7 linked regions of the Macaca mulatta genome follow. The protein of the gene in region 7 interacts with the protein of the main gene of each other region in a biochemical or structural test. Links are inferred from orthologs where the notes say so. Each region holds a gene or a part of one and is shown on either strand. Other genes may lie near its edges. The genes, in order: MAP4K1, DOCK1, ARHGAP32, ABL2, BCAR1, ERBB3 and CRK.

Region 1 (4,768 bases), on a different chromosome or scaffold from region 7:
GAACTCCTGACCTCAGGTGATCCACCTATCTCAGCCTCTCAAAGTGCGGGGATTACAGGCGTGAGCCACCGCACCAGGCCCAGCAGTTATATTTTTAAAAATAATTAAATTAAATTAAATTAAATTAAATTTTAAAAAGCCAGGCACGGTGGCTCAAGCCTGTAATCTCAGCACTTCAGCAGCTGAAGGCAAGAGGATCAGCTCAGCCCAGGAGTTTGAAATACGGCCCAGAAAGACAGTTCCTGTGAGATACACACACACAGACGAAGAGGTGAATTCGGGTCGGGGTTGGGGGGTGGGGGTGGGAGGGTTGCCTGGGTCCCCTTGTGCTTTCTCTAACCTTGGTAGATGTCCTGGAGAGAACCAGCCCCACAGAATTCCATGCAGATCCAGAGCTTCTGCAACCTGCAGTGTTTCAAGGGTAAGAATAATAATAGCAGTAATACATTATTATTTGCAGGAAAGTCCCTGGTTTGCTTCTGTCTTGTTCTAGATCAGTAAGAACTTTAATGTAACAGCTCTCATCACTCCATCTCTCCTTGTCTACCAGAGTGAGGTGGTTTCATTCCCGTTTCACAGACAAGGAAGTTAAGGCTCAGAGAGGAAATGTGAGTTCCGGGGCAAGTCAACTCAAACCTAGACCTTTGGGCGGGACCCCTCTGCCGTCCCACGCCAACCTAGGAGGTAGGGCAGAGATCTCACGGGTTGTGGAGATTTGGAGGGGACAGAGGGGCCCAGGGCATCTGTTCCGGGGAGCAGAGGTCAGTATTGGGACATCTGGAATATTAATTTGGGGATCAGGGAATTTAGAAGTTTATATTAAAGGAACAGAGAGTGGAACTGGGGGAGCCAGAGGGCAGAATGATGAGAGCTTCGTTTCTAGGGAGTTGATTTCCAATTCCGTTACTATGAAGGGATCAGTTTGGGGTACTCTTGATCAGAAATGGGAATTCTGGATTGGAGATTAGATTAGAGGCTGCTCTGGTCAGAAAAGTGGGACTTAGGAGTGAGGATCAGGGTAGGGTTAGCCCAGTCAAAAATGGGGGTCCAGGATGGGAGGCCGGGTTATGGTGAGAAATGGAAGTTCAAGGTTAGAACTCAGGGTGCCAAGGCCAGGCACGGTGGCTCACACCTGTAATCCCAGCACTTTGGGAGGCCAAGGCCAATGGATCACGAGGTCAGGAGTTCAAGACCAGCCTGGCCAAGATGGTGAAACCCCATCTCTACTAAAAATATAAAAATTAGCCGAGTGGGGTGGTGGACGCCTGTAATTCCAGCTACTCGGGGGTCTGAGGCAGAGAATTGCTTGAACACGGGAGGCAGAGGTTGCAGTGAGCCGAGATCATGCCACTGCGCTCCAGTCTGGCAACAGAACAAGACTCCATCTCAAAAAAAATGAAAAAAAATGAAAAAAAAAAAAAAAAAAAAAAGAAATGAGGGTACCCCCATCAAGAAATGGAGGCTCTGCGTTAGGGGCTGGGCTGGGTGCCAGGGTGGGTCTGAGGTTCATCACCAGAGATAACTCCCATGGTAGGCCACGATGTTGGCGTGCCGGCAAGTTTTCAATATGAGGATTTCCTTCTGAAGGGTGGAGACATCATCATCTGTGAGGAGGGTGGGAGAGAAAGGCAGCTCGCATGGAGAGAGCTACGAGGGAGGTGATCCCAGTGTCCCAGGAGGCGAAGGTGGGGATGTGGGGAAGGAGCTCCGGGTTCCCTCCTCACCAGGCTCCATCTTCACCATCTTCAGTGCCACCAGGTCCCCTGTCGCCTTGTCTCGAGCCTTGCAAAGGGGAAGTCGGCAGTCAGGCAGGCTCCATTTGCCAGCGTCCCTCCTCAGCATCCCTGAGTCAAGGTCAAGGACTGGGACCCCCTCTTGCAGCCTCCTCCCTACCGAGGCCTTGCCTTAAAGGCCACTAGTTTGAGGGTGTTGGGGACAGAGGGGCTTTCTCACCTTAAAGACTTCCCCATATGTGCCGCCACCCAGTCGCTGCAGCAGGTCGTAGTGGTCCCGGGGGTCTCTATTGAAAATGTCCGGATCCACGAGGTCCATCCCTGGGGGCCGGAGCTGGGCCTGCGCCCAGGGGCCAGCAGGGCCTCAGGGCTCAAGTTCTGGCACCTCCCTCTGTCCCCAGAAGCCCTGCACCCGCCTTGCCTCCGCGGGCTGTGGCCTCCCTCCTCCCCACTCTCGCTTCCTGCCCCAGCTGCACTGCAGGGCTGTGCAAAGGGCTCCACCCCCTGTCCCCTGGGCGCTGAGAGCCTCTGAGGGGCAGCTTGTCTTGGGACCCAAGGGACCATCCTCAACCTCCAAGGCCCAGGGCTGGATGTAAATGTGATGCAAATGATCTTAATGGTAACTGGATTGGAGGGGGGTGCCTTAGAACCCCCGCCCCCGTCTCCTAGGTAGTGTCTAAACCTCTACTGGGTGCTTGAAGGTTTGGCCACAACCCGAAGGCGGCAAGTCTGCACAAGGATGACTACGCAGTGTACATGCCTGTTCACCTGTCACATACATGCACTTGGGTTACCTCCTGTGCACTGCGCGGGCATGTAGACGTGTAGATGTGCATCTACCTAGATACCTGTGTGCACAGTACACACGTGGAGGTACCCAGCGCATATACCTCCACATACATGGCACATAACTGCATTTTCTACGCTTGCAGTGTACAAAACCTATACATGATATATAATTGATGGCAGTACAGATAGGACCCTCGCCCTCAGCTCCAAGACCGGAACCTAATGGAGACCGGGCGCGATCCGGCGAAGTCCAGGAGCCCTCACCCCAGCCCCTGCCCGGCAGAGCACAATAGCTTTGTGGGACCCTCTTCCTGGAGCTGGGGACCAAGGGCCGAGACTTGAAACTGGATCCTGGGCGCTCAGGATCCTGCACCATGCGCCCAGGCCTGAGGCGAGAGGGACCTCAGAGAACATCTCCCTCGGGACTTGGCCAATGCCTAAACGGAGGGCTGCTGCGTGCATTCCCGCACAGCTCCGGGGACTTATGGCCGCGCGCAATACAACGCGCGCGCACGCCGCCAGAGCTCCGACTGCTTCCCAATGAGTTCGCGCGCGCACGCTCCCGCGCCCCCGGCACTGGAACTGGGTCTGTGAGGCCCGGGAAAAGCTTAGCCCCGCCCCTCGCCGAGAGGCGCCTGCGCACTGGGATACAGTAAGCTTTTTCTCACGCTGTCCGTCCAGCTTGAGTGGAGCGAATGCGCACGCGCTAATTGCCCCTGCGAGGAAGAAGTCACGTGGCAGCCGGAAAGCGTGGCGGCTGCTGCGAGAGCCTGTCCCTTCACCGCCCCCAGGGAGCTGGAGCGACAACAATGACGTCGTTTCCGTTTCCACCACCTCTTCCTTTTCCCGTCCTCGCGGACGCCGTGCCGGGCCGGTATTAGTCTCCAGCCCTGGTTGTGGAAAGCGACAGAAGTCATGGCGATGTTTGAACAGATGAGAGCTAACGTGGGCAAGTTGCTCAAGGGTATCGACAGGTCTGAGCCCGGTCGGAGGGAGCGCTCTGGCCATGCGGGGCGGAGGGGAGGGTTTTCAGGAGGCAGCAGGGGGTGGTCAGGGTCCTGGGCTTGCCGCGGGGTGGGGTTTCTCTATCCTCCTGGAGGAGGAGATGCTTAAAGAAACGCCACTGAGCTGGGGGCGGTGACTCACGCCTGTGATCTCAGCACTTTGGGAGGCCGAGGCAGGCGGGTCGCCTGAGCCCAGGAGTTAGAGACCAGCCTGGGCAACAGTCATACCCCGTCTTTAAAAGAAAGAAAGAAACAGCCCTGCAAAGGCCTAGAAGCGAAAGAATCTTGGTACCGCTCAGTCTCTTCGTGAATTGCCTTAAGGTTTCCTTCTCTGCCCTGCCTCCTTTGAGTGCCTCTGAATCTCTCCCTTCTCTGCTCCTTACGTCATTCATTCACATGTTTATTGAAATAAAGTGTCAGTGCTAAGGCAATGCTGGGAACCACAGGCGAATCAGACAGCGGCAGATCATGCCTTCACGGTCTGAGTTCCCATTCCATGAGGGAGACAAACCTGACATCAGACAGTGATATCTGGGAGAGGTTAGAACCGAAATGGGGGAAGCAAAGGCTAGAGTGTTCAGACGGACATGGGGGAAGTAGGCATCCAGGTAGGCAGGAGAGGATGGGGCTGGATCAGGGTGGAGGCCTGAGCAGGGGAGGAAGGGGTGAGTAACAGAGATGTTCAGGAGGCCAGATGCACAAGCTGCAGTGACTGACTGGCTCAGAGGTTGGGGAGGTATCCTAGGCAAGACCCAGGGCTCCAATGGAGTATAGAGCTTAGGTGAGAGGTCTGGGATATGAATAAGTTTTATTAGAGATTATACTGGACATAATTCACTACCTGGATAGAGCAAGTGGCCAGTGCCAGATTTAGAGGGGAAGGGTGGGAGGAGCAGGTTACAGTTGCCCCTGCAACTGTAAAGTGACTGGCCTCAGCTTCTGTCTCCTGTCTGCTCACCTATCTTGATTCTCCTTTAGGTACAATCCTGAGAACCTGGCCACCCTGGAGCGCTATGTGGAGACGCAGGCCAAGGAAAATGCCTATGATCTGGAAGCCAACCTGGCTGTCCTGAAGCTGTAAGTGTCTGGCTGTCTGTCTACACTCCCATTTCAGCAGCTAGCAGGGTGCCACTCCCAGTACAGGGCAAGGGGGTGGCTGGTGGTATCCTGCATGATGCAGCATCTCTTGGTGTGCAAGACTAGGAAGCCAAGGAAGTTGGGACAGGAGGAGGGATGGTTTTT
Region 2 (4,248 bases), on a different chromosome or scaffold from region 7:
CGTACTGCACTGCTTGTTTATAACTTAAAACCCAGAAAGTTGGTTTTATCTATACTTCATGCCACTCAGAAAGCAGTCACATGCTACCTGGCTATCTAGAGGTGGAAGGCAAACCCCCCAGCCATGACTTGACGTCCAGCAGGCCAGCGCTGCTCTGTGGCCTGTGGCTGCAGTGGGGCTGGAGAATTCCCGTGAGGGTGGCCGAGATGTCAGGCCTCGGGGGGCACTGGCTGGAGGCTGGCCCGAAGCACCCAGACGCTCAGCCTCCAGCAGATTGAGGGGGTCCTGACCACACAGCGTGCTCTGTCTGCTATTCTCGGAAGTTGGGATGCCCACCACCCCAGAGGTTGGCTGAAGTCTCCTTCTCTCAAGCCCCAGGTAGATTTCTCAAGTCTCAAAACATCGTAGCTGGGTAGTGGAATGAACAGAAGCATTTTTGAATATTACTTAGTGCCAGACACTATGCAAGTCTTTCATACATTTTAATTTAAGCTCCGTTTTAAGATGCTAAATTGGAGGCCTCAGAGAAGTTGTGCCAAGTGGCAGGATTGATCACAGCTGACTTGTGTGAAAAGTCCAAAGACACAAGCACACACGTGACAGGCACAGAGCCAGCACAGTGCATTTTCTGTCCCTGCCTGTGGTGGCCCAAGCATCCTTCTAGGATCCTTGCAAACAGCAGGGCTAGGGGCAGCACCACAAGGGCTGCTTCCCCACGGTTGTCCGTAGCACCCTCAGCAAATCCGCAGGAACTCAGCAGGGTCAGAGCACAGAACATTGGTGGCACTTCTCAGCATCTGGCCCAGTGTCAGCTTGAGCCTTCCAGCACCAGGAGGCAGGGCATCTGAACCTCCCACTGGGGACAGGCTTCCTATTCTTGGTCCAGCCCAGCAACCTGTCTGTCTACACAGAGGCCACCTCCTCCAGGGGACGGGTGCCGGCAAGGTCTGTGAGGACAGTCAGACACCTGAAGTTTCCCAGCAGGCGACTGCGTGCCTGTGACCAGCCATGCTGCAGGGGAGGTGGGGAGGAGGTTCACAGGAGCAGAAGTAGCAACCCATTCCCTGGGGACAACACCAGCCACCCTCCCCACCCCCCACCCCCGCTTACCCCTACTGTAGTGTCCTCCTTGCCCTTCCCCCATGCTGGCCTCCCCTGCACCCCAGCTTCTGCCAAGGTTTTCCCTCCTCACCCCTGGGGCTGGGTTTGGTTTCCTACTTGATTTGCATCATCAACAATTTCCTGACCTTTAGCTGAGCCTCTCCAGCCAGAGCCTCCAGGCTGCAATTTGCATCACAGCAGGCCAGCCTCCTCACGCTCTCTGAATCAGAATGTGCCCGCCCTGGGATGCAGGGAAGCCAGGAGAAGCACCTTAGCAGATCCCAAATCTCTCTTGCCAGCACATTCGCCTTCAGAGGGCCCAGCACTTCACCCAGCCTTTCCCGACTTCCCACGGCAGTTCTGCTGCCTGGAACAAGGCCATTTCTTCAGAGGAGGTGCAGCTCCTGGGCACTTGGCTCCCCTGACAGCACAGTATAGTTCTGGAAATAGACCTGTTGGCCTGGCTCTGTCACTCATTTGCCAGAGGGCCTGAATCTTCCTCCCAAGCCTGGTTCCCATTTCCTCCTTCCAGCCTCAGTAACCCCCAGACTGGCCCTGGCTCGGCTGACTCCTCCTGGGGCAGACATTGAAGCCTACCTGCTCTGTTGCTCACCCAAACCAGCACAGCCCATCCGCCAGGCCCCCAGACCTAGCACCAAGCCGGAGCTGCCCACTCACCTGCCTGCCCTTCCTTGGGGGAGAACCTTGACCCCTCCTTTTTGGCTGGGTTAATAAGTTTTCTAATTACTCCTGCCTCAGAGTATTCTGTCACTGCTCCTGTTCCCCAAAGCCTGATGAGCAACCTGTAAGAAATACATACATACAACTTACTGATGGAACAAACAGGGAAAGGGCTTCGGTGGGGGAAAGTCAAGTGCCTCCAAAAGCCAGAGATGAGCAGGAAAAAATGCATTGAAAAGGAGAGAAAAAGAATCCCTGCCCGGTAATGACCTAGGATGTGAGAAGCAGCAAAGGAAAGGAATAGCAAAAATCCTTCAGCCAGTTCCTAGACTTTCAGGTACACACCAAAGAGACCAAAGCATGCTGAGCACACCTGGGAATAATTCTGCCACGGAACACGTGTCCATGTCCAAACTTCCCTTTTTCATAAGGTCACATGTCCTATTGGATTAGGACCTGTTACTGGGAAGTGTGCAGGTCCTTGATTCTTAGTCTTAGAGGACAGAATTCAGCCAAGAGACCAATTAGTAAAGTAGGGAAATTAGTAAAGTAGGTAAAGCAGGCTTATTAAGGAAATAAAAGTAGCATAGACTCCAGGAGAGGAGCAGGCTGACCCTGTGGAGAGCAGCCCCTGGGAGTTCTGTGTTGTGGTTTTTATACTGGACTGATTTAAGCTCCCACCTCTGTCTTAAGCCTCTCCCTTTGTCTTCGTGTATTTTCCCAGCTGTCTTAAGTCTCCACCTTTTCCCTGCCTAGTTCCCGCCCAGGTTTGTGGGACTTTCCCTTGCTGCTAGTTGATGTGCACACTCGGGCTCAGTGATCAATAGGAATCCTACCTAATGGCAGCATTGCTCATTACCACCACCCCAAGAAGGTCGTATTGCGGTCAAATCTGTACATACTGTGCGAGTGTGTCTCTTAGGAATTAACCCCTTGCCCTGTTTCCCTCCTGATCAGCATGTAGCCAGCTACATTGTAACAGGTTAGCTGCAGAGGGAGCAATTACTGGGTGTCTTATGGGGTGTTTCAGGGCGCTCCCTCCTGCCTAGGTATTCCCCTCCCCTCTGCTCACACCTAGCATGTGTGTTTCGTGGGGGTCTCTGGGGCATGAGATTTTCCAGAGTTTCCTCCCCCGTCTACCTTTCCTGTTCATGTCTTACAATCTGCCCACTAACAGGCCACACCTCAGCTTGATCATTTGCAAAGACCCTATTTCCAGTTAAGGTCATATTCTAAGGTAATGGGGGTCAGGACTTCAACATAGGAATTTAGGTGAAAATGCAGCTCGGCCCATAACAGACCCTAACTGTGCTCTTTCTCTCCTTTCAATGTAGATAAGTCCACTGCGGCCCCAGAGACCGAAGAGCCAGGTGATCAACGTCATTGGAAGCGAAAGGCGCTTCTCAGTGTCCCCCTCATCACCGTCCTGCCAGCAAACACCTCCTCCGGTTACACCAAGGGCCAAGCTCAGCTTCAGCATGCAGTCAAGTAAGTAGAACAGTCCCCACATAAGTATCGTGCTATAGCTCTGTGACTTCCCCTGGCTGAAGGCTCTGAGGTTAGAAGCGCTTCCTGCCTCCCTTTGCAGCAGAGGGTGAGAGTTCAGATAAACACCTGGCTTCCTGGGAGTGTCCCTTGGAACAGGCTGTAGAGTCTGGACTTCCGCAAATCAGGCCAAAACTCAGAGCCCAGGTCTCCAGCACTGGAGGGGCAGAAAGTGCAGGGTTTGTCCCAAGGTCCATGTGGAGGGGACCTGTGAGGCACATGGAACTGCCCCACTTCCTATCCCAGGACACAGAGCTGCAGGAGGCCGTGGGCCTGCTTGTGTCTAGGACTGTGCACTGGAGAAGCACCTCCAGGCAGTTGGCAACAGCTAAGGGGCACAGCTTATTTTTCTAGTTTTGACCAATGTTTAAATTACCCTAGAAGTTGCCACAAAACTAGTGGCTCCAAACAGCAGAAATCTGTTCTCTGAAGGTTTTGGAGGCCAGAACTCTGAAATCAAGGAGGTACCAAGTTGGTTCCCTCTGGTGGCTCCAAGGGAGAGCCTGTCCCAGGCTTCCCTCCAGCTTCTGGTGGCTCCCAGCAGTCCCTAGCCCTCCTTGGCTGTGGCCACATCACTCCCCTCTCTGCCCCTGTCTTCACGTGGCCTCCTTCTCTGTGTCCTCTCCTCTTAGAAGGACGGCAGTCATTGGATACAGGGTCCACTGCAAATCCAGGATGATCTCACCTTGAGATCCTTCGCTGATGACATCTGCAAAGACCCTAAATCCAAATAAGACACATTCTGAGGTTCTGGGTGGCCCTAAGAGGTCTGCATTTTGGAAAGACTCTACTCAACTTACTCTAAGTGGTAGACAGCTTTTCACCACTGGATTCAGAGCCAGCAGAGAGGAGAAATCTTGGCAGGGAGAAGGTGCTGGGGGTGAGGATGGCAGCAGAACTGGGGAGCCCACTCTGCTTCCT
Region 3 (4,248 bases), on a different chromosome or scaffold from region 7:
TTTACTACGCAGATGGATGACATAGATCCCACCCAAGTCGTCCTGCACGGCCGGGGTCATGTTATCATACTGGGACATGACAGGCCCTTTCACCTTCTGCCGAGCACGGCTCTCTCTCCGGATGGACTGCATGCGGTATTTTTCCATGTCCTCAAGATCCCATGAGGTGTAGGTGTGCTTCACATCAGCCGCCGGAGGCATGTTGACTACATTATGGTCGTTGGGAGAGAAATAGCCAGTCACGTTGGCCCGGGGACGTGGAGGCAAACCAGCATAACTGTACAAGTTCTTTCCTTGCAGCCTAGGATTGTAGAAAGCAAAGTCTCGATTGGGAAGGCGGTGAAGGGGTCTCAACTGGACTGTGCCATAGGCATCCACATCACACAGGGCCCCATCTGGACTGTAATAGGAACTAGAAGAACTGGAATATGGGCTATACCTGTAGTGGACCCGGCCATTCTCAAAGTAAGGCTGCAGCTGAGTGACGTGATAATCGGAGCGGGCCTGGGAGGACTGATATGGCTTATATTGGTACAGGGGTCTTGGGCAGTAGGCTGGCTCATCATCTGGGGGAACTTCTGTCCGTGAAATGGGAACAGAGCGAATCATGGAAGACGGCGGAGCATGGAGAGACTGCACTCTCCGGATGGTAGGGTATGGTGGAATGTCTTCAGGGTAACAGGTATTCCTAACAGAGGAGCTCAAAGACGACACATACTCGATCCGGCTGCATGGCTTGGAATGGTGTCCAGATGCGTTTCTTCCTGGGGCCACATATGTGTTATAACGAAGACCCATGGAGGCTGGTGGCTCTGACCTGGCACCATACACTTGGTGCTGCTCCAATTTACTGTGATGTGGAGGTACACTCTGGGGACGGTACTGGCAGTTTGGAGTCATACTGAAATGCAAACAGTTTTCTGGACCAAAGGGTTCAGTGGTGACATCGGGCCTAGCAAAGGAGGAGTAAACTGTTTTCTGAGAAGCATGCTTAGGTTGTGGGACAGGAAGTGGTAAAGGCAATGCATCATCCACAGAGGCGGATGAAGCAGTGACAAAGGAATGATAATTTGAACTGCTGGTGGCATCTGCACTGCTGGAATGTATGGCAGCAGCCATCTTACTCTCCATCGTCCTGGTGGGGGGCAGTGGTGTAGGAAAGCCACAGGGATGTGCAGGGACAGACTCGGCACGCAGGTGCAGCAGCGGGGCCCGGGCACCATCCCGCACTTTCTCAGGCAGGCCTGGCTGGACAGCTGTAGCCATGGGACACTGAGCAGCAGCTGCACCACTGTCACTGATGAAGGCAGACGCAGGGTCATCCACGGCTCGAGGTTCAGGTGGCCTCTCTGGAACTGGAACTGCTCCTTGAACCTATTGAAAGACCATAATACTATGCATCTATTTTTTGTTCCGTCTATGAATCAAGTACTATTAAATTTGTAACTCACAAATTGAGGCTGGTTGGGTAGCAACTTGAACTTTCCCAAGCCATGTGGTTGCAATGAATCTGTACCCACTGATAGGAAAAGAAGGCTGGTGCTGCTATTTTGTATAAATATAGTATTCTCTCTGGAGAACCATTCAAAGTTTTCTAATTTATGAGAGGTTTTAAATGCGAGGCGAGGTGGCCTATGGCATGATTTTAATATACAAACCAAGAGAGGTTTAGTCAAGTAATACTGTAGAGCTTAAAAATACATACCCGGTCTCTTAGTCTAGCTCAGTCTCAACACCAAGGACATTTTGTTAAATTAAGAGTTAATTCTATCATCTGGAGAGACTTTTGAAATTCACAGTTGTACACACTGAGCAGCTTTAGGCCTTCAAAAATAGGGAAAGGCAATATTCAAATCAGAGGCTACTGCCTCTCCCCTACCTTTGATTCCACCTTAGTCTGGCCAAAGATAATCCTCATACTGAAAACATGCTATCCTTGAGAAGCAGTAAACACAGCATCCTCCACTAAGGTCTAAAATCTGAGGTCCTATTAATAGTTCAAGATGACTAAGAAAAACAACCTGTGGCCCTTCTTAAAATATGAGGAAATTCAGGAAGAAACCTTAGCATTCTGTATACTACATTCTCTCACTGAAGCAGGTGCCTGACTATGGGACAAACTGCTGGTGGATGCTAGGAAAGTAACAAAAATCCCAAGGTACTATAATCTCTTACACTTGCAAAAAGTCTGCAAGGCAGACAGTCCTACGGATGTTTTGAGAATGAAGTATTTTCATTGTGTAACTGTGAATAATTGGCAGAGGGTAGGTAAATGACTTGCCCAAAGTCACAATGAGTCAGCGATGGAGTTGGAATAAAAAAAAAAAAAAAAAAAAAACTCACAACCTTAAAGCCCACTTTGTCTTACTAAGTGTTACTAGGAATAAACTAGTGTTTTACTAGTTTATTGTGTTACTAGGAATAAACTACCAAGACACTTTAGAAGAAAAGGGAGCAGGTACAGTTAAGCTATAGTCATGGAGGAGCTACTCCCTTTTCTCGGGAAAAGCCAGCATCAAGGTAACGGCAGGCTCCAACCTCAAATGGGAATTATTTCATGGAAACCAGCCATAGGGCTTAAAAGCAATTGTTGTGTCTGACTCAAAGGTAACAACACACCCTGCTGAAAAGTGACATACCTTTGGTAATAGTATATTTCATCTCACTGATATCTTCCCCTTCTTACCTTGTGGGAATTATTTAATCCTATATTGGTTGCTGCTTGTACCTGCCCCACAACTGGTGGCTGCTCTGCAGATCTCTGGGAAGGTGGAGGGGGAAGGGGACGATTAGTTCTGTGTGTGCGCTGAAGGGTGGCAGCAGCAAAATCAGCAGTGGTGGGTTGTTCAGCCACATCCCAGCTGACTTCCTTGGTGCTCATTTGGGCTGTTGCTGGAGTAGTTGTCATGTACGTCATGGTGGCTGTGCTGGTATTCTCTTCGGGGGACCCAGAAGGATAGATTTTATCCCTAGGTAAATTAGGAGGTGTGGGTGATTTGTCTGCAAGGGACCCAGAAGGAAGGAAGATTTTATCCCTAGGTAAATTAGGAGGCGTGGGAGATTTGTCTGCAAATTCTAAAGGGTGATGGGGTTTATCCACACTTGCACCAAGATAAGAAGGAGGGTGATCTCCACTGTAGAAACGGGGTGGAGACTGGTCCTGATCCAAGAAGGAGACAGCTGGCATACTGTTCTTCCCAGACTGGTCTTCAGGGAAACTTATAAGATCATCCGACTTCTCTGAGTCTAAGGGAACTGAAGTAATTCTGGCCTTTTCTGGGTCCCCAGATAAATATGTTTGATGTGGCTGATTCCCTGTTAAGTCTACTTGGTGATATTGCTCCCCAGATTCAGTTGTGTTGGAATGGGTAGGATCCCCAACAGCTGTTGTCTCTGGTAGAGGATGGTCACAGTTTCCTGGTGCGTTATTCTGGAGGTGAAACTGCTCTGCTGGTCGATCGGTTTGAAAATAGGCCTTATCTAGAGCAACTGCAGAGTAAGAACTGGGCAGATTATCTTCAGTTGTAGCCACCGCTATATCTCCATAATTTGTATACCCAGCCTGAGAGGTCCCTGGTCTCTTCAATGACTGAGTTGAGGCTTGCTGTGCGGACTCAGCTAATGCTAGCGCCAACATTCGGGCAACATTTTTCGGAGGCGGTGGTGGTGGGATAAGAGAGACTGAACTGACAGGAACGGAATCCTGAGGGGGGTCATGGGTAACTGCTCCTAGTGGGAAATTGGGAAAAAAAATGAGAGTGAAAAGGTAGCTTACGTTATCCTAAATGGAAAGCCAAACACTCCCCATGTGATCACTAAAAAATAGGTGCCTTCCATATTTCAAAATGGCAATCCATGATCTTCTATCCCACATGCAAATGCTGTAGAAAACACATCTGGTGCAGAAGGAAAACTAAAACAAACCGTGTATAAAGACCGCAATCTCTTCTTGAATTGCTACAGAGATGGGGGGAAAAAGCAGATCCCTCACCTGGCTCAGAAAAGATTGCTTAGAAAACAAGCTTCAAGTGCTTGCAGACTGTTATTATGAACAGTTTTTACACTTGATGGTGTAGGCTGGCTTGTTAACTTGGAAGGCTACAATAAAGATATTTTATTAGAAGAGAAAACAGAATCAAGAGCTACGCAGTTGTGCAAAAATTATCCACGAATTCTCACTGTCCAAAGAGATAAGGGGGCTTTTGTGAAGATTTGAAGCAGGACCATTGGCCCTTTTGGGGAGTTTTG
Region 4 (4,248 bases), on a different chromosome or scaffold from region 7:
CGACAAATGGGAAATGGAACGAACGGATATTACCATGAAGCACAAACTTGGGGGCGGTCAGTATGGAGAGGTTTACGTTGGCGTCTGGAAGAAATACAGCCTTACAGTTGCTGTGAAAACATTGAAGGTGGGTTGCTGAGAATTACAGTTTTCAGGCATCTTTTTCTTTTGTGCTCAATCACTTGGAAATATGAGCATGCTCTTCTTTAACTTTGGAACACTTTCCACCCACTGGTGCCAAGCACATCAGCAAATTGTGATGATTAACCCTAGTGCCATTGCTGACAATGCAGAGGTAGATTATTCACTGCAATGCAATGAAACCCACATGTGGGAAAGGTCTGTCTCTGGAGGCTGTTGATGTAGATCTTAGTGGGAGGTTAGAAGCAAATTAAAAGTTATAAAAGCAAAATAAGCTCTTTTGCTTCCTGAGATCGACCCCTGCTGGACAGAATTCTTTGTGCCTTGTCTGAGAATCATGGGCCTCTTTCTTGTTCTGTCCTTCCTCTCCCTTGTTGTTGTTCCTCCTGTCTCTTCGCAGTTAGAGCACTTCTTAACATTCACAGAAATCTTTTTCCTGGTACTACTATATGTCTCCTTTAAACCTCCCAGTATCAAATTATAAGGTTTTCACTCACTTGATTGTCCCAGACCCTCAGTAACTGTCTCTAGTATATCACTCATAAGGGCTATTCTTCAGCTAATAAGTAGTAGTCAGTTCTGTTTCTTAAGCATATTCTGAGTGTAAAGCAATATATAAGGCCTTGCTCTCTAAGAAGATTATGATCTAATCAAGAAGATAAGTATGTAAGCAGCTAAGTGCTAGGTCTCCTCATTCAAAGCCTGAGATATCTGAAGAAATAAATTGTGAGAGAACTGAAGTATCCAATACAGGGCTCCTGTGTTTCAGTTGATTATAGGACATGATTGCTGAATTTTGCTTCTCCTGCTAATTTTTACTCCAGGACATTTTTCTTTCTAAGTTGGACTTCTTAAAATAATAATCATTTCGGCTGGGTGTGGTGGCTTATGCCTGTAGTCCCAGCAATTTGGGAAGCCCAGGCGGGCCGATCACCTGAGGTCAGGAGACCATCCTGGCCAACATGGCAAAACCCCGTCTCTACTAAAAATACAGAAAGTAGCCAGGCATGGTGGTGCATGCCTGTAATCCCAGCTACTTGGGAGGCTGAGCCAGGAGAATCGCTTGAACCCAGGAGGCAGAGGTTGCAGTGAGATCGTACCACTTCATCCCAACCTGGGTAACAGAGTGAGACCCTGTCTCAAAAAAATAAATTGAAATAAAAATTATTTCTTGTAATATGCTAAAATATTCAAAAGATACTTCTTTTTACTGTTAAAGCTGAAGCTTTAGGATTGTGAGATGAATCAAATGATTTTAAGTTGGGGGTTTGTCCCTCTCGTTTTCTTCTTTCTTACCTTTCCCTTTTTCCAGGAAGATACCATGGAGGTAGAAGAGTTCCTAAAAGAAGCCGCAGTAATGAAGGAAATCAAGCATCCTAATCTGGTACAACTTTTAGGTGAGGAACCTTGCCTGAACCATAGATATCCTCCAAAAATGCTTGTCCTGTAACCCCTTCTTATCTCCAAATGCCCTCTTTTTTTTTTTTTTTTTTTTTAGAGACAGGGTCTCACTCTGTTGTCCAGGCTGCTGTTGAAGTGATTTTCCCATGTGGGCCTTTCAGTATGTTGGAATTACAGGCATGAGCCACCATGCCCAGCCTTCCCCCGCTCCCCCAGCCCCAAAGCTTTCTTTTCAGTCACCATGGTGGAAGCTGCAGGTTTAAATCCACTTCCATAAGTACTTATTTTAATCAGTAGGTTCCATGTTTTAAAATGGCCCAAGAAGCAGTGGCCTGATTGATTTTAGTATATAAAACTGCTCAGTTTGTACTAATTGCCCCAGATTCAAAGTTCAGAAGTGTTCAAAATGGTACTGAACCAAAAACTCATGAAATGTTTTTGCAAAATAAAGAGACATTGAAGGACTGTTGAAGCAAATTAAAAACTGTGACCACACCCATCAGTTTACCTTTACAAGCAGGAAATGCTGTACTATGTTAGATTGGCTTTTCACTGTTCAGGTCACAAAGAACTCTTTTACTAAGCTCTTTTACTTTTTAAAAATAGGGCCAGATTTTTTTTTTTTTTTTTTGGATGGGGGGTGTTTTTTGTTGTGGTTTTTTTTTTTTTTGATAGTCTTGCTCTGTCACCCTGGCTGGAGTGCAGTGGCATGATCCTGGCTCACTGCAACCTCTGCCTCCCAGGTTCAAGCTATTCTCGTGCCTCAACGTGCATCACCACACCCAGCTAATTTTTGTAGTAGAGACAGGATTTTGCTATGTTGGCCAGTCAAGTCTTGAACTGCTGGTCTCAAGCGATCTGTCTGCCTCAGCCTCCCAAAGTGCTAGGATTACAGGCGTGAACCACTGCACCCGACCTCTTGTTGGTTTTTTATAAGGAATCTGCCATATATCAGTGAATTCCTTGACTATGGAAACGATGAAAATCATTTTACAAAGCAGTATTACAGGTGGGGCTCACATAGTCTTCAGCATGTGCACAATTGCTATTACTTTTGAGTAAGTATTGTTAGCCTGCAGTTGAGGAGGAGAATCAAAAGTGTACAAAAGTCTGGACATGTTGGTTTTCTTGGCCCCTTATAGAATTAATACAAGCACGCTGCTTTTGCTCAAACAGACAAATACTCAGAGGCATATGAATTCCCAGAGAACAATATAGTGGAAGCAAGGACTCCCATATAAACCAGCTTCTTAATTTTTGCTTATTAATTTCAGAGAATGTGGTGGTAAAAAGGGAAAAGATTACTGCCGAACTAGACCTGAAAAATTGTCAAATTATTCTTGACGAAAGTGGTTTGAAGTGTTTGAATGTACATTAACAAAAACAAGCACTATTCTTCAATTTTTAGGTGTCTGTACTTTGGAGCCACCATTTTACATTGTGACTGAATACATGCCATATGGGAATTTGCTGGATTACCTCCGAGAATGCAACCGAGAAGAGGTGACTGCAGTTGTGCTTCTCTACATGGCCACTCAGATTTCTTCTGCAATGGAGTACTTAGAGAAGAAGAATTTCATCCATAGGTGTGTAAAACTTACCTCTGACTAACCATGAAGCCATCCTGCTTGACATGCAGATAAAAGGAAGAATGTGAGAACCTTCCCAGAAAATTTCGGATGATTCAAGAAAGTAATTTCGTATTTCACAGGGCCCATTATAATGTCACTTCTAACTTGTAAACAAACGTACTGTACTCTGATTAAAGTATTAATAAGGGGCCTTTGCTGTTCTCAAAACTGAGAACTCTCTTTGGAAAAAAAAAAAATTACAATAGTGATGGGGTCTTGCTATGTTGACCAGGCTAGTCTCAAACTACCAGCCTCAAGTGATCTTCCCATCTTAGCCTTCCGAAGTGCTGGGATTATAGGTGTGGGCCACCATGCCTGGCCAGAGAGCTCTCTTTATTTTGCCCAGCACTGTATCCAAGATCCTTTTTCACCATCTAGTGGCTTTTTTTTTTTTCCCCTTCTTGAGACAGTCTGGCTCCATCGCCCAGGCTGGAATGCAGTGATGCAATCTTAGCTTGCTGCACTCTCTGCCTCCTGGGCTCAAGCCATCCTCCCACCTCAGCCTCCTGAGTGGCTGGGACTATAGGAATGTGCCACCATGCCCGGCTAAGTGTTTTTGTTTTGTTTTGTTTTGTTTTTTTGTTTTTTTGTTTTTTTTGTAGACAGGGTTTCCCCATGTTGCCCGGGCTGGTCCTGCACTCTTGAGCTCAGGAGATACACCCACCTTGGCCTCCCAAAGTGCTAGGATTACAAGCATGAGCCACCACACCTGGCCTAGTGGCTGAGTTTTTAAAATAGTTTTCTGCCTTAGTAAATAACTTAAAGTCTTGTAGAAAAGCATCTATTGCTCACCTATCCCAGTGTACTTATAAATAGGGACCCATTTTATAAAGCCTGCTTTATTCTGCTTCTTGATGAGTGCTCTACAGTGATATATCATTAGTGGGCTTTCTAAGATGTTAGTGATTGTCGGAAAATACTACCATATTTGTCAGCACTTACTTAACTCTGCCTGTAACACAAAGAACCAAGAATAGAGTGTTCACGACCATTTTCCTCACCGTCTGAATGGAATCACATTAGGGTTCTCTTTCCCACAGAGATCTTGCAGCTCGTAACTGCCTAGTGGGAGAAA
Region 5 (4,248 bases), on a different chromosome or scaffold from region 7:
CGGCAAAAGAGGAGCCGGGGCTGGGCAGGCGGCACCCACCTGCAGGTGGACGTAGTCATAGTCCTCCATCCAGCCCCCCTCGCTGTTCTCGTACTGCCCATCCGGCGAGTCCTGGGAGGTGAACTTAGGGGGTGAGGGCAGGGGCCGTGACTGGATGCTGCTGGTCTTGTCAGTGGGGTTGGGGTGCAGGGTGCCACCCCCCTCGGGCCCCGGAGCGGGGGCCTTGGTCCGTCTGAAGAGCAGTGAGGCATTGCCGTGCAGGAAGGAGGCCAGCTGCTTGGCGTCCTCGGGCACAGCCCTCGAGCAGGCCACCAGCCGGTCCAGGTCCTCAGGGGTGGCTCCAGGGCCTCCCCGGCCAGCGTCAAAAGCCTGACCGTGTGCCACCAGCGTCTGGTGCACGTCCTCCATCTTCTGTAGTTGCCGGCTAAGCTTGGCATGCAGGGTGCGGTCAGATGTGTGGGCAGCATTGCCCACGGCGCTGCGGGAAAACTCCAACAGCTCGTGGACGGCACTCTGGACGGCAGCCACAGCAGCCTGCAGGTCCTGCACCAGCGGCTCCTGCGGCTCAGAGGGGTTACGCCAGCTCCCAGTCCCACCAGCGCTGCCTGCCAGGTCCAGAAGGTGGGCAACGGTGGTGCTCACACCCTGCTGCAGCCGTGCCAGGGCCTCCACGGCAACTTCCAGCTCCAGGGGTTCCCGGCCCGGCCCCGCCACCTCCAAGGAGGATGCGGACTGGCTGCTACGTGTGCTGCTGGTGCTGGAGGCCGAAAGGCGCTTGCCATCCGCCGGGGCTTCACGTTCAGCTGGGGGAGGCACCGCATACACACCGTTGTCAACCGTGCCACCATCAGCCAACTCAGGAGGAAGCACCCGTTCACGGGGCACATCATACAGGGTGCCTGGGCCAGGCCGCCGCAAGCCAGGGGGCACGTCGTAGAGGTCAGGAGCCGGGGGCGGCACGTCATACACGTCCTCGGCCGGCGGGGAGTCTGGAGGGGGCACAGCCAGGACCAGTGGGGTGCGGGCCGGGTCAAAGGGCTTGGCCTTAGCGAAGGCGGGGGGCACATCGTAGGTCTCCTCACGGAGCAGCGGGCCATCAGGCACATCCTTGCTCACCGATGGAGGAACGTCATAGACCTGGGGGAACAAGCGGCAGTCAAGGCTGTCCATCCGTCCATCTGCCCACCCCAGGGGCTGGGGGCAGCACCCAGCCACACACATGTACACACACACAGGCACACACGCAGCCCCGGCACACACATCCTTCACGATTCCCATCCATGACAGCTCTGGGACGAGCCGGCTCTAGAACCTGAAGGTGGGAGAACTTCCTCTCAAGGAATGACACGTGTTAATTCACATAATTGTGTCACTTCAGACTCACTGAAAGGTTAGCTCTCATACTGCCACTGCCACCACCATCATATCATGATTTCATCACCACCACCACCACTGTACCACCCAGTACCACCACCACGTGTGAACTTTCCACTCTGCAGCACGTGTGTGACTGAGCTCTGCGGGTATTATCAGGGGATCAAATTCTGGTTTGCTCCGGACAGTCCTGGTTTGTCCCTGATGCTCCCACATAATTACTAGTCCCCCCTTCACTCTTGGAAGTATCTCAGGTGACAGGACATACCCTGTGGTCACCTTGCAGATACCCTCTCAGGAGCTCATGGGGAAGGCCTTCCCACAGGCGGCTCTGCAGACGAAGCAGCTGAGGCTCAGAAGAGAGCTCGGTTTCCTCTTCTATCAATGATCCAGTGAGGAGCAGAACCCGGGTCTGGAGCCAGTCTCTGCCTGCCCACCACCCCGAGCCCTGAAGACACTGGTCAGCACCCCAGTGCACACACCCAGACACCCCACAGTCTCAGCCTGGCCCTGGCATGTGCTCACCGCGTGGTGGCTGGACAGTGGCAGGCCCTTCTCCACGCTGGGGGGCACGTCATACACCTCCAGCAACGGGTCTCGGCCATTGGGACCCTTGACAGCCATGGGGGGCGTGTCATACACCTGGGGGCAGAAACAGTGGAGGGTTAATGGCGCCAGGGGGAACGGGAAAGGCAGAAACCCCGCGGCGCTGCCCCCAGGCCTGGCCAGGGCTGAGAAGATGCAGCTCCCTGCCCAGGGTCAAGCAGAGGCACAGACTCGCCGCCCTGCCCTCCCGCTGCTGCGCACCCCACACCTACCTCCTGGCCATACTGGCTGGGAAGCAGCCCCCGAACCGGGGGCACATCATAGATGTCCTGTGACCCCGGGGCCAGCAGGTGTCGCGGGATGTCGTACTCGTCCTGCTCCGGCTGGGCGGCCTCATACACGTAGCCCTGCCCCACGCGGGTGGGCACCACCACCTGGGGGCAGAGAGCTGACTTCACTGCTGCCCTCGAAGCGGCCCTCAGGGAGGCTCCACTCACACCTGGGAGCCACGTCCTTTTGGGAGGTGGGCAGGGCACACCAGGTGGAAGGGACGGGGCTCCCCAAGGACGCCAGTTCTCACCCACTCTGCACCCTCTGACCTTCCTCCAGCGGAACGTAGTGCTGGGTACAGCAAGAACCCCGGGTTTTATTCAGAGCTGCCTGGTCCTGGGCCAGGACACCACCATCTCTACAGCCTGCTGACCCGGAAGGCTCCACAGATGAGTATGGGTGTGAGCTGATGACGGTGGGGGACACCGGTGGGGTAAGGGGCTGGGGCCCTGGCTCTGGAGGGCACTACCCACAGGCAAGGAACCCCCCGTGACTGGGGCGCCCAGCCCCGCGGGACGAGAGGTCACGTCGGAGGCCTTGGAGCCTGCTGCCCACACCACCGAGCTGTAGCCTCCTCAGAAGGATTGGCCCAGCAGGGGACTGCGTCCAGCCCAGGACCAGACAGAGCCTAGCACCCCCTGCCCCACAGCACAGCATGGGGAGACTCTGGAGGACAGGAGCAGAGGGGCAAGTTGAGCGTGTGCTGGGGGCCACAGCAGCTGGAACCAAGGCTGCCCTGCCTTGCCGCGCCTGCCCCGGGGGAGCTGCCTGCAGCAGGTTAGATCCCCAGCAACCTGAAAGGATGAGGCTTAGTGGGGGAGGCAGGTCCAGGGCCAGCCCTCCCTCCCCAGGCTCTCTTACCCTGGTCCAGAGCCCGGGGCGGCCAAGGCAGGCAGCGCAAGCACCTGCCCAGGACCACGCTGCCCCTCACTAGTAATGGCCTGAAGGGGGTAGGGGCCATGCCAGGCAGCCTCATTCCCCAAAAGCCTCCCTGCCTTGGGGAGGACAAGGCCTCCCTGGTGGGATTCTCCAGCCCCTGGCACACTGCACCCACACGCCTCCACCACCAGGCTCCCTGTTCAGCTCTCTCCACTGAAAGACCTTTTGTTCCCTCATCAAAGGGGATGTCTGGGACAGGGTTGACTCAGGGCCTCCCTGCACATCCCCCAGGGCAGCAGCGCCAAAGCAGCCTCTCCCTCGGGCCCAGTGCCCCTGAACCCCGAGAGGCCCTCCCAATGCAGGCAGGCAGCCAGCCCTGCTCACTGAGGGTGCTGTGAGGGGGTGCAGGGCATGGGGGCGGCAGAGGCGCCCAGCACCCCCCAGCAGCCCCAGGCCTGGCAGAGCCCCCCGCAGCGCAGCAGAGCTGGGCCCAGTGGGTCTCCAGCGCGCCTGGTAGCAGAGCCCCACAGGCTGGGGGCCTCCGCGGGGTGTCCCCACCCCCCTCCAGTGCGTCTGGGAGTGGATTTGGCGGCTGCCTCTCCAGACTCATCTCCCTCCACGCGCTCCAGACTTGAGTCTCCTCCAGAACTATTTTTAGACGCAGGGACCTGCCAACAGTGGTGCAGGCGGGGCGGAGGGACGTGGCAGGTTGGCTGGGCCTTGAGGCACGGCCTAAGGCTTCTCCAGGCCTCCCAGCCTCCCAAAGGCAGGTGGGGACCCAGCCCCAAGGCTCAGCCAGGACCCAGCACCAGCAGGAGGGAGGCGTGAGCATCCTCCAAGAGCACCCCGCTGGTGGCCGTCCCAACCTCATGCGGTGAGGCCCAGGGGCGCAGCTGGACCCAGGCCAGCCTCCCCAGGCAAACGGCTGCCTGCCACTCTTGGAGCTGAGTCGGGTGGCAGTAGGCAGCCACAGTGACCAAATGTTTCTGTTAGAAAAACAGAGCAAGGCAGCCACCAGCGGAAAACGCTCATTAGGGGAATGACGCTGCTAATCACAGGCCACCCTGCTACACACCTGAGACCCCACCAGCAGGCCCTGGAGGTCCCCTGGGGGTTAGG
Region 6 (4,248 bases), on a different chromosome or scaffold from region 7:
AAAAAAATTTCTGTCTCCCTGTGACTTTTAGATGTTTTCACTCATTCTGCTCCTTGGAGCAGCAGAACAAAGGGACTTTCTAGTCTGTAGGACAGCACTTAAAATATATGTGTGTGTGTCTGTGTGTGTATGTGTGTGTGTGTCAGAAAAAGAGAGGGAAAAAAACACTATAACCACCTGTTTTTTTTTCCTTTAATTTTTTATTTTGACATAATTTTAGATCTACACTGAAGTTGCAAGAATGGTGTAAAATTCCCCATATACTTTTTTTTTTTTTTTAATTGAGACAGAGTCTCAACTCTGTCGCCCAGGCTGGAGTGCAGTGGTGCCATCTCGGCTCACTGCAAGCTCCGCCTCCCGGGTTCACGCCATTCTCCTGCCTCAGCCTACTGAGTAGCTGGGACTACAGGCGCCCACCTCCACGCCCGGCTAATTTTTTTGTATTTTTAGTAGAGACGGGGTTTCACCGTGTTAGCCAGGATGATCTTCATCTCCTGATCTCATGATCCGCCCGCCTCGGCCTCCCAAAGTGCTGGGATCACAGGCGTGAACCACCATGCCTGGCCTCTTTTTTTTTTTTTTTTTTTTAAGACAGAGTCTCACTCTCTTTCCCAGGCTGGAGTGCAGTGGTGCAGTCTTTGGGTCACTGCAACCTCTGCCTCCCGGTTTCAGGCAATTCTCCTGCCTCAGTCTTCCGAGTAGCTGGAATTATAGGCATGTGCCACCATGCCCGGCTAATTTTTGTATTTTTAGTAGAGACAGGGTTTCACCATGTAGGCCAGGCTGGTCTCGAACTCCTGACCTCAAGTGATCCACCCGCCCCTGCTTCCCAAAGTGCTGGGATTACAAGCGTGAGCCACCACGTCCGGCCCCCCATATACTGTTTTACCCAGATCCTCCAAATGTTAACATACCACATGTGGCTGGATGCAGTGGCTCATGCCTGTAATCCCAGCACTTTGGGAGGCCTAGGCAGGTGGATCACTAGGTGTGGATCACGAGGTCAAGAGATCGATCGAGACCATCCTGGCCAACATGGTGAAACCCCATATCTACTAAAAATACAAAAATTAACTGGGCGTGGTGGTGCACTCGTAGTCCCAGTTACTGAGGAGACTGAGGCAGGAGAATTGCTTGAACCCAGGAGTCGGAGGCTGCAGTGAGCCGAGATTGCTGCCACTGCACTCCAGCCTGGGCGATAGAGCAAGACTCTGTCTCGAAAAAAAAAAAAAGTCTTCCTTTCCTATTTATTTACTCTTATGGATACTTATTTTATTCTAGTCAATGGTTATGATCTTTTACAATCATCATTTATTTTAGCCAGCCCCTCCAAGCTGGCTCCTGTGTTCTTTGGGCTGTACCCTTAATTCTTTGAGTCTTTTCTTGTCTGCACAAGATGCTCTAGGCTCATATAGTTCCCCCATCCCAGCCATTTCTCCAAGGAATGTTTCCTTTTAGTGGAGAATGATATTTAGAAACCAAATTCTGAGGCTTGGTGTGCTCACTGCCACTGAATTATACCTTTACCTTATTGACTGGTTTCTACTGTTCTACTCAGAGACCCCTGGCACAAGATCCCTGCCCTGGACCCAGAGAAGCTCAATGTCTTCCGGACAGTACGGGAGATCACAGGTGAGTGGTAGAGAGTTTGGCCTTTCTAGAATAGACGAACCACTGGCATAAATTGCGGTATAACTACTTGAGAAAATCATGTCCCAAGTTACAGGGGAGGAGCTAGGAGAACCCAAGAAAGATGAAGTCTGCCTGCCCATATGCCTCTCTCCAACCCCTCAGGTTACCTGAACATCCAGTCCTGGCCACCCCACATGTACAACTTCAGTGTTTTTTCCAACTTGACAACCATTGGAGGCAGAAGCCTCTACAAGTGAGTAAAGACTATGGCAGAAGTGGCATCTTCAGGCATTCTTGAGTAAAATACAAGGCACCGTCTCATACAGCAGTACCTCAATACCAAAGGGTTTCAGAGTTTCATGAGGAAAAGGCAAAAGGAGGGGGATTCCCTCTCAGTGGATCTGACTAGCACTGAGCAAATTTCTTGACTAACATGATTCCATTGAATAGTTAATGTTCCCTTAGTAGTCTCTCCTCTCATCCTGTCTCCTTATTCTCAGCCGGGGCTTCTCATTGTTGATCATGAAGAACTTGAATGTCACATCTCTGGGCTTCCGATCCCTGAAGGAAATTAGTGCTGGGCGTATCTATATAAGTGCCAATAGGCAGCTCTGCTACCACCACTCTTTGAACTGGACCAAGGTGCTTCGGGGGCCTACAGAAGAGCGACTAGACATCAAGCATAATCGTCCGCGTAGAGACTGCGGTGAGGGAAAGGGTCTGCTGGGTGGTGAGAATAGGGAGTCAGGGAGGAGAGAGCTGAAAGGACTATTCTGCCCTAGACATGGGAGTAGGGTTGAGGGATGGAACCAAGGAGAAAGGGGCTGTTAGGCCGGAAGCAGTAACGAGGAAGAATAATGAAGAGAGGGCTTGCTGGGAGTCCTCAGACTCCTCTCCTAACCCACCCCTTCCTTTCCAGTGGCAGAGGGCAAAGTGTGTGACCCACTGTGCTCCTCTGGGGGATGCTGGGGCCCAGGCCCTGGTCAGTGCTTGTCCTGTCGAAACTACAGCCGAGGAGGTGTCTGTGTGACCCACTGCAACTTTCTGAATGGGTACAGTGAGGGGAGCCAGTCAAGGATGGGTGGGGTTGGGGCACTGCCATGGAACTGTTCAGGTGGCATATAATAAAAGCCTTTAGACAGCTTTCTGCATATGCCTTGGTGGGAGTGAGGTAGGAGACCAGGTCATGAAGGTCAGGACTTGGAAGTGACCCCTCTCCCTTTATTCCCCACTGCAGGGAGCCTCGAGAGTTTGCCCATGAGGCTGAATGCTTCTCCTGCCACCCGGAATGCCAACCCATGGAGGGCACTGCCACATGCAATGGCTCGGTATAGTAGCAGCACCAGGATCTCCAAGGGAGACACTCCAAGGGAGACAGAGAAGGGGCAATACTTGGAGCATCTGGGGAATGATATGGCTAAGGATAGTACAGAGAGGCCAGATAATGCTAGGGCCTGCAGATAGAAGATCCTGAATGTCTGGGTTGGTTTTTGCTGGGAGGTATGGAATTGACCTTGGGATCTGATTCTTCCTGACCTTCTCTCTTCCACTCAGGGCTCTGATACTTGTGCTCAATGTGCCCATTTTCGAGATGGGCCCCACTGTGTGAGCAGCTGCCCCCATGGAGTCCTAGGTGCCAAGGGCCCCATCTACAAGTACCCAGATGTTCAGAATGAATGTAGGCCCTGCCATGAGAACTGCACCCAGGGGTGAGTGATGGGATAATAAGGAGAGGGGGTCAGGTGGAAGGGTAGGAGCACAGAACTAGGGTGAGGGAAGCGGAAGCAGAAAGAAGAGAGGCTGTGATTTAAGAATCTCTCCCAGCTGGCCGAGTGCAGGAGCTCACACCTGTAATCCCAGCACTTTGGGAGGCCAAAGCAGGTGGATCACCTGAGATAGGGAGTTTGAGACCAGCCTGACCAATATGGAGAAACCCCGTCTCTACTAAAAATATAAAATTAGCTGGGCGTGGTGGCGCATGCCTGTAATTCCAGCTGCGTGGGAGGCTGAGGCAGGAGAATTGCTTGAACCCAAGAGGCGGAGGTTGCGGTGAGCCGAGATCACATCATTGCACTCTAGCCTGGGCAACAAGAGTGAAACTCCGTCTCAAAAAAAAAAAAAAAAAAAAAAAGAGAAAAAAAAAAGAATCACTCCCAGCTGTGTAGCGAAGGATTGGAGAAAGGGAAAATCAGTAACAACACAAAATTACACCACGGTTTTGGGAACATGGAATAACCTCAGTTCAAGAGGGTTTCACTGAAGAGGGGCTTGGGGAGAGCTAGTAAGCTGGGGGTGGAGGCCATGTCTTGGGATCAGCTTTGGGCTCCAGGATGGGATGCCATGGTAAGTTCTAAAACAAGCTTTTGTATGTTGAGGCTGTTGAAATTGAGCCTCTGTTGTCCAAGCTCTCATTTAAGGTAGTGACTTTCTTCCCTAGGTGTAAAGGACCAGAGCTTCAAGACTGTTTAGGACAAACACTGGTGCTGATTGGGTATGATGGGGTTGGAGATTCTGGAAACTGGGGATATTTGAGAGTTGGGAGAGAGGTGGTTACCTGGAGAGAAGAGCAAGGCTCTCTTCATTCTGGCCTTTTATGTACGCAGTCCACTATCACCG
Region 7 (3,361 bases):
CCACCCGCCTCGGCCTCCCAAAGTGCTGGGATTACAGGCGTGAGCTACCGCCCAGCCAGTTCAACATTTTTCAAAGCACTAACCCTACCCCAAACTCATGTAATACTAACTTGACTTTTATACAAGTTGCACAGAATGCAGAGGGCAGAATTTGGCCCCAAAACCTTCCACAGAATATTAGAGGTGATTGGTCCTTCCACTCTGAGTAGAACCTAAGAATTCCAAGAGTCTCCTAATAGGATACTGGCCTTCAAGAGAAATGGCCCTGCTGGATCCCATCAGTTAGGACTCTAGTTAACTGCTGTAGAAGGGTGACCTACTACGACCCTTTAGGGGAAGGCAGAGAGCTGGGAGACTGGCTGTCCACTTAGTGAATCCAACACTGGCTTAAAGCTATGCACTGAATAAAGTGCTCGGTACATTCTGCTTCTCACCTGGAATGAAAATACACACTTATCCTAGGAATTAACCTACTTACAGGTTTGGGGGACAAGAATGTCAAGGGCTAAAAGAATCCCAAGAAAAAGTATGAAGCATCGACTAGGAAGGAACAAATGCTTCTAGTAGTGTTCTTAGAATTCTTAGGATCTGAAATGTCAGAATGAGTCATATGCTGGTCATGCTCCATACAATGAAAGCAGTCCTGCTTGATACTATTCACACAGTGCATTACTTCCCGGGGGTGGAAGGGAACAGTCTGTCGCCATTTGATAGTATGGTTCCAGAATGAAAACAAAACCACTGAATAAATCAGGGTAAGCAGTGTGTAATACTCCTTCCTGTCCATCGGTTTTCCACAGGGTGATTTGCATTGCCTGAGAGAAAGGAGGCAAGATACCTATCCCTTCTGATACACACAGGCACGGCCACTACCTCCTACAATTGCCAATTTCAGAAGCTAACACACGAGCCCTCCAGTTCGTACCCTGAATATGGTACAGAAGACTAGGAATGGAGTAGTTCAGTCTAAAAAAAGATCACAGGTAACAGAATGCTTATATAAACTAGACTGCTTTTGACATCTGTAAGAAAACTGTATAGATGGCAGCTGGAAAAAAAAAAAAGATTGTTCCCATCTGTCAGCAAAACTGTTGAGCTATACTCAGCTGAAGTCCTCATCGGGATTCTGTTGATCCAGCAGACGGACATGTGTGAATGGGAAGTGACCTCGTTTGCCATTACACTCCCCTTCCCACTGACCACTCACATTAATCTTCGTAACCTTTACCAGCTCACCGACCTGCAGGAGGAGAATAAGGAGAGCACTTTATTTCCAGTTAGGAATGCAGCTGCACAACTCCGTTCTCTGGTCAGCACACCCTGCCCATGTGATTGCTCTAGGGATGTGACAGAAATGGCCCCTTGCTGCCTCCCCAGCCCCAGCCACCAGACTGATTCCTTGTGGTTAATGCAGGCAGAAGGAAGAAGTGTTTTTAGCAGTGCAGAAAAACAGAGAATACAGAAAGTAAAACAGGATCCCAGATAATGATACTTTTTGATTAAAAAAGGAAAGTGGTAACTATTGGAAATCTCAAGTGTCTCTGAACAAGCAATCCCCACTTCAGTGAGTGAGCTAGTATTCCCTTTCTTTGTACTCACTACCCTCGGCTTTCTACCTGCTCCGCAGACCCTGTCCGAGGAGAAGCAACCTTCTCCCTTCTTTTTTTGTGTTTTTTCTTTTTTTTGAGATGGAGTCTTGCTCTCTTGCCCAGGCTGGAGTGCAATGGCATGATCTCAGCTCAATGCAACCTCTGCCTCCCAGGTTCAAGCAATTCTCCTGCCTCAGCCTCCACAGTAGCTGGGACTACAGGTGCCCGCCACTATGCCCAGCTAATTTTTGTATTTTTAGTAGAGATGGAGTTTCACCATTTTGGCCAGGCTGGTTTTGAACTCCTGACCTCGTGATCCACCCGCCTTGGCCTTCCAAAGTGCTGGGATTACAGGCGTGAGCCACGGTGCCCGGCCACCTTCTCCCATCTTTAGCGTCCGGCAGCAGCACAGTCCCCCAGCCCACTCGCACACATGTCCTGGTCTATTACCGCTTGCACAGCAGAAACTGATCATGGCAAGCATAGGTCACTTGGTCCTAGAAAATCAAGTGTTCCCATCACCTCCTGACCAAGGCAAGCCTTTTCCCGTATGGGCAGGTAGAGGTCCAAACTCCAAATCCAATTAGCTCTCAGAAAACCCCCACCTCATTAAGCAAGCTCTACTTGACAAGCCACTGCCTGCCCAGCCCCCCAATCCCACCATTCGACAGACCTTGCTGCTCCCTCAATGCTGCTGATTACCTGATCATTACCCAATGAGGGGTCAAAAAAACCAACTATGGTTGGGCACAGTGGCTCATGCCTGCAATCCCAGCACTTGGTGAGCCTGACACAGGTGGATGGATTGCTTCAGCTCAGAGTTTGAGACCAGCCTGAGTAACATGGTGAAACCCATCTCTACAAAAAATACAAACATTAGCTGGGTGTGGTGGTGGCCGCTCACAGTCCCAGCTACTCCGGAGGCTGAGGTGGGAGGATTGCTTGAGCCCAGGAGGCAGAGGTTGCAGTGAGCTGAGATCACACCACTCCATTCCAGCCTGGGCAATAGAGCCAGACCCTGCCTCAAAAAACAAAAACAAAAAACCCCCCTGTATTTCAGCATGTATTTACGAAATGTCTCGTTGCAAAATGAAATATAAAGTTGTTTTTTTGTTTCTTTTTTGAGACAGAGTCTCGCTCTGTCACCCAGGCTGGAGTGCAGTGGCGGGATCTCAGCTCACTGCAAGCTCCGCCTCCTAGGTTCACGCCATTCTCCTGCCTCAGCCTCCCAAGCAGCTGGGACTACAGGTGCCCGCGACCACACCTGGATGCTATTTTTAAAATATTTTTAGTAAAGATGGGTTTCACCTTGTTAGCCAAGATGGTCTTGATCTCCTGACCTCGTGAGTCACCCACCTTGGCCTCCCAAAGTACTGGGATTACAGGCGTGAGCCACTGTACCCGGCCGAAATATAAAGTTTTAACAATCTATGATATATTTCTATCCTGCTATGAAACTTCAGAGGTCAGTCTGATGAATGGATTCACCCCATGGCAAAATGCTGAATGGTGAAATACAGCCTCAGATGCCATGCCACTGGACTAAAGAGTTTTATGACCATCCTTTAAGTATCAATATTTGAATTCTGGGCATACTCTGTTCATTTGGTTTTATTTTTTTTTAATTTTTTTTTATTTTTTGAGACGGAGTCTCTCGCTCTGTAGCCCAGGCTGGAGTGCAGTGGCCGGATCTCAGCTCACTGCAAGCTCCGCCTCCCGGGTTCACGCCATTCTCCGGCCTCAGCCTCCCGAGTAGCTGGGACTACAGGCGC

Evidence for each region.
Region 1: the proteins of CRK (region 7) and MAP4K1 form a complex in vitro, tested with the Homo sapiens proteins (2 studies listed by BioGRID). The link is inferred for Macaca mulatta from reciprocal best matches to the Homo sapiens genes CRK and MAP4K1.
Region 2: the proteins of CRK (region 7) and DOCK1 form a complex in vitro, tested with the Homo sapiens proteins (3 studies listed by BioGRID and IntAct, with this or other methods). The link is inferred for Macaca mulatta from reciprocal best matches to the Homo sapiens genes CRK and DOCK1.
Region 3: the proteins of CRK (region 7) and ARHGAP32 form a complex in vitro, tested with the Homo sapiens proteins (2 studies listed by BioGRID and IntAct, with this or other methods). The link is inferred for Macaca mulatta from reciprocal best matches to the Homo sapiens genes CRK and ARHGAP32.
Region 4: of the proteins of CRK (region 7) and ABL2, one has a biochemical effect on the other in vitro, tested with the Homo sapiens proteins (2 studies listed by BioGRID and IntAct, with this or other methods). The link is inferred for Macaca mulatta from reciprocal best matches to the Homo sapiens genes CRK and ABL2.
Region 5: the proteins of CRK (region 7) and BCAR1 form a complex in vitro, tested with the Homo sapiens proteins (2 studies listed by BioGRID, with this or other methods). The link is inferred for Macaca mulatta from reciprocal best matches to the Homo sapiens genes CRK and BCAR1.
Region 6: the proteins of CRK (region 7) and ERBB3 form a complex in vitro, tested with the Homo sapiens proteins (2 studies listed by BioGRID and IntAct, with this or other methods). The link is inferred for Macaca mulatta from reciprocal best matches to the Homo sapiens genes CRK and ERBB3.

The regions. Positions count from the first base shown.
Region 1 is NC_133424.1:49,706,097-49,710,864, forward strand, and holds the start of MAP4K1 (mitogen-activated protein kinase kinase kinase kinase 1), read right to left. Parts: upstream 3,250-4,768; 5' UTR 2,053-3,249; coding exon 1,954-2,052; intron 1,783-1,953; coding exon 1,725-1,782; intron 1,605-1,724; coding exon 1,514-1,604; intron 406-1,513; coding exon 341-405; intron 1-340. Other genes in the region: EIF3K (eukaryotic translation initiation factor 3 subunit K), read left to right, coding at 3,438-3,496, 4,505-4,603. UniProt on the Homo sapiens protein: Serine/threonine-protein kinase, which plays a role in the response to environmental stress. Appears to act upstream of the JUN N-terminal pathway.
Region 2 is NC_133414.1:139,493,557-139,497,804, forward strand, and holds part of DOCK1 (dedicator of cytokinesis protein 1), read left to right. Parts: intron 1-3,116; coding exon 3,117-3,270; intron 3,271-4,248. UniProt on the Homo sapiens protein: Involved in cytoskeletal rearrangements required for phagocytosis of apoptotic cells and cell motility. Along with DOCK1, mediates CRK/CRKL regulation of epithelial and endothelial cell spreading and migration on type IV collagen.
Region 3 is NC_133419.1:129,332,942-129,337,189, forward strand, and holds part of ARHGAP32 (rho GTPase-activating protein 32), read right to left. Parts: intron 3,730-4,248; coding exon 2,687-3,729; intron 1,375-2,686; coding exon 1-1,374. UniProt on the Homo sapiens protein: GTPase-activating protein (GAP) promoting GTP hydrolysis on RHOA, CDC42 and RAC1 small GTPases. May be involved in the differentiation of neuronal cells during the formation of neurite extensions.
Region 4 is NC_133406.1:36,527,221-36,531,468, reverse strand, and holds part of ABL2 (tyrosine-protein kinase ABL2), read left to right. Parts: coding exon 1-127; intron 128-1,453; coding exon 1,454-1,538; intron 1,539-2,950; coding exon 2,951-3,128; intron 3,129-4,213; coding exon 4,214-4,248. UniProt on the Homo sapiens protein: Non-receptor tyrosine-protein kinase that plays an ABL1-overlapping role in key processes linked to cell growth and survival such as cytoskeleton remodeling in response to extracellular stimuli, cell motility and adhesion and receptor endocytosis.
Region 5 is NC_133425.1:70,566,176-70,570,423, forward strand, and holds part of BCAR1 (breast cancer anti-estrogen resistance protein 1), read right to left. Parts: intron 2,355-4,248; coding exon 2,193-2,354; intron 2,017-2,192; coding exon 1,900-2,016; intron 1,138-1,899; coding exon 40-1,137; exon of another isoform or gene 1-39. UniProt on the Homo sapiens protein: Docking protein which plays a central coordinating role for tyrosine kinase-based signaling related to cell adhesion. Implicated in induction of cell migration and cell branching. Involved in the BCAR3-mediated inhibition of TGFB signaling.
Region 6 is NC_133416.1:63,241,535-63,245,782, forward strand, and holds part of ERBB3 (receptor tyrosine-protein kinase erbB-3), read left to right. Parts: intron 1-1,558; coding exon 1,559-1,632; intron 1,633-1,794; coding exon 1,795-1,885; intron 1,886-2,132; coding exon 2,133-2,338; intron 2,339-2,551; coding exon 2,552-2,684; intron 2,685-2,869; coding exon 2,870-2,960; intron 2,961-3,186; coding exon 3,187-3,341; intron 3,342-4,069; coding exon 4,070-4,123; intron 4,124-4,248. UniProt on the Homo sapiens protein: Tyrosine-protein kinase that plays an essential role as cell surface receptor for neuregulins.
Region 7 is NC_133421.1:2,969,904-2,973,264, forward strand, and holds part of CRK (adapter molecule crk), read right to left. Parts: intron 1,241-3,361; coding exon 1,103-1,240; 3' UTR 1-1,102. UniProt on the Homo sapiens protein: Involved in cell branching and adhesion mediated by BCAR1-CRK-RAPGEF1 signaling and activation of RAP1.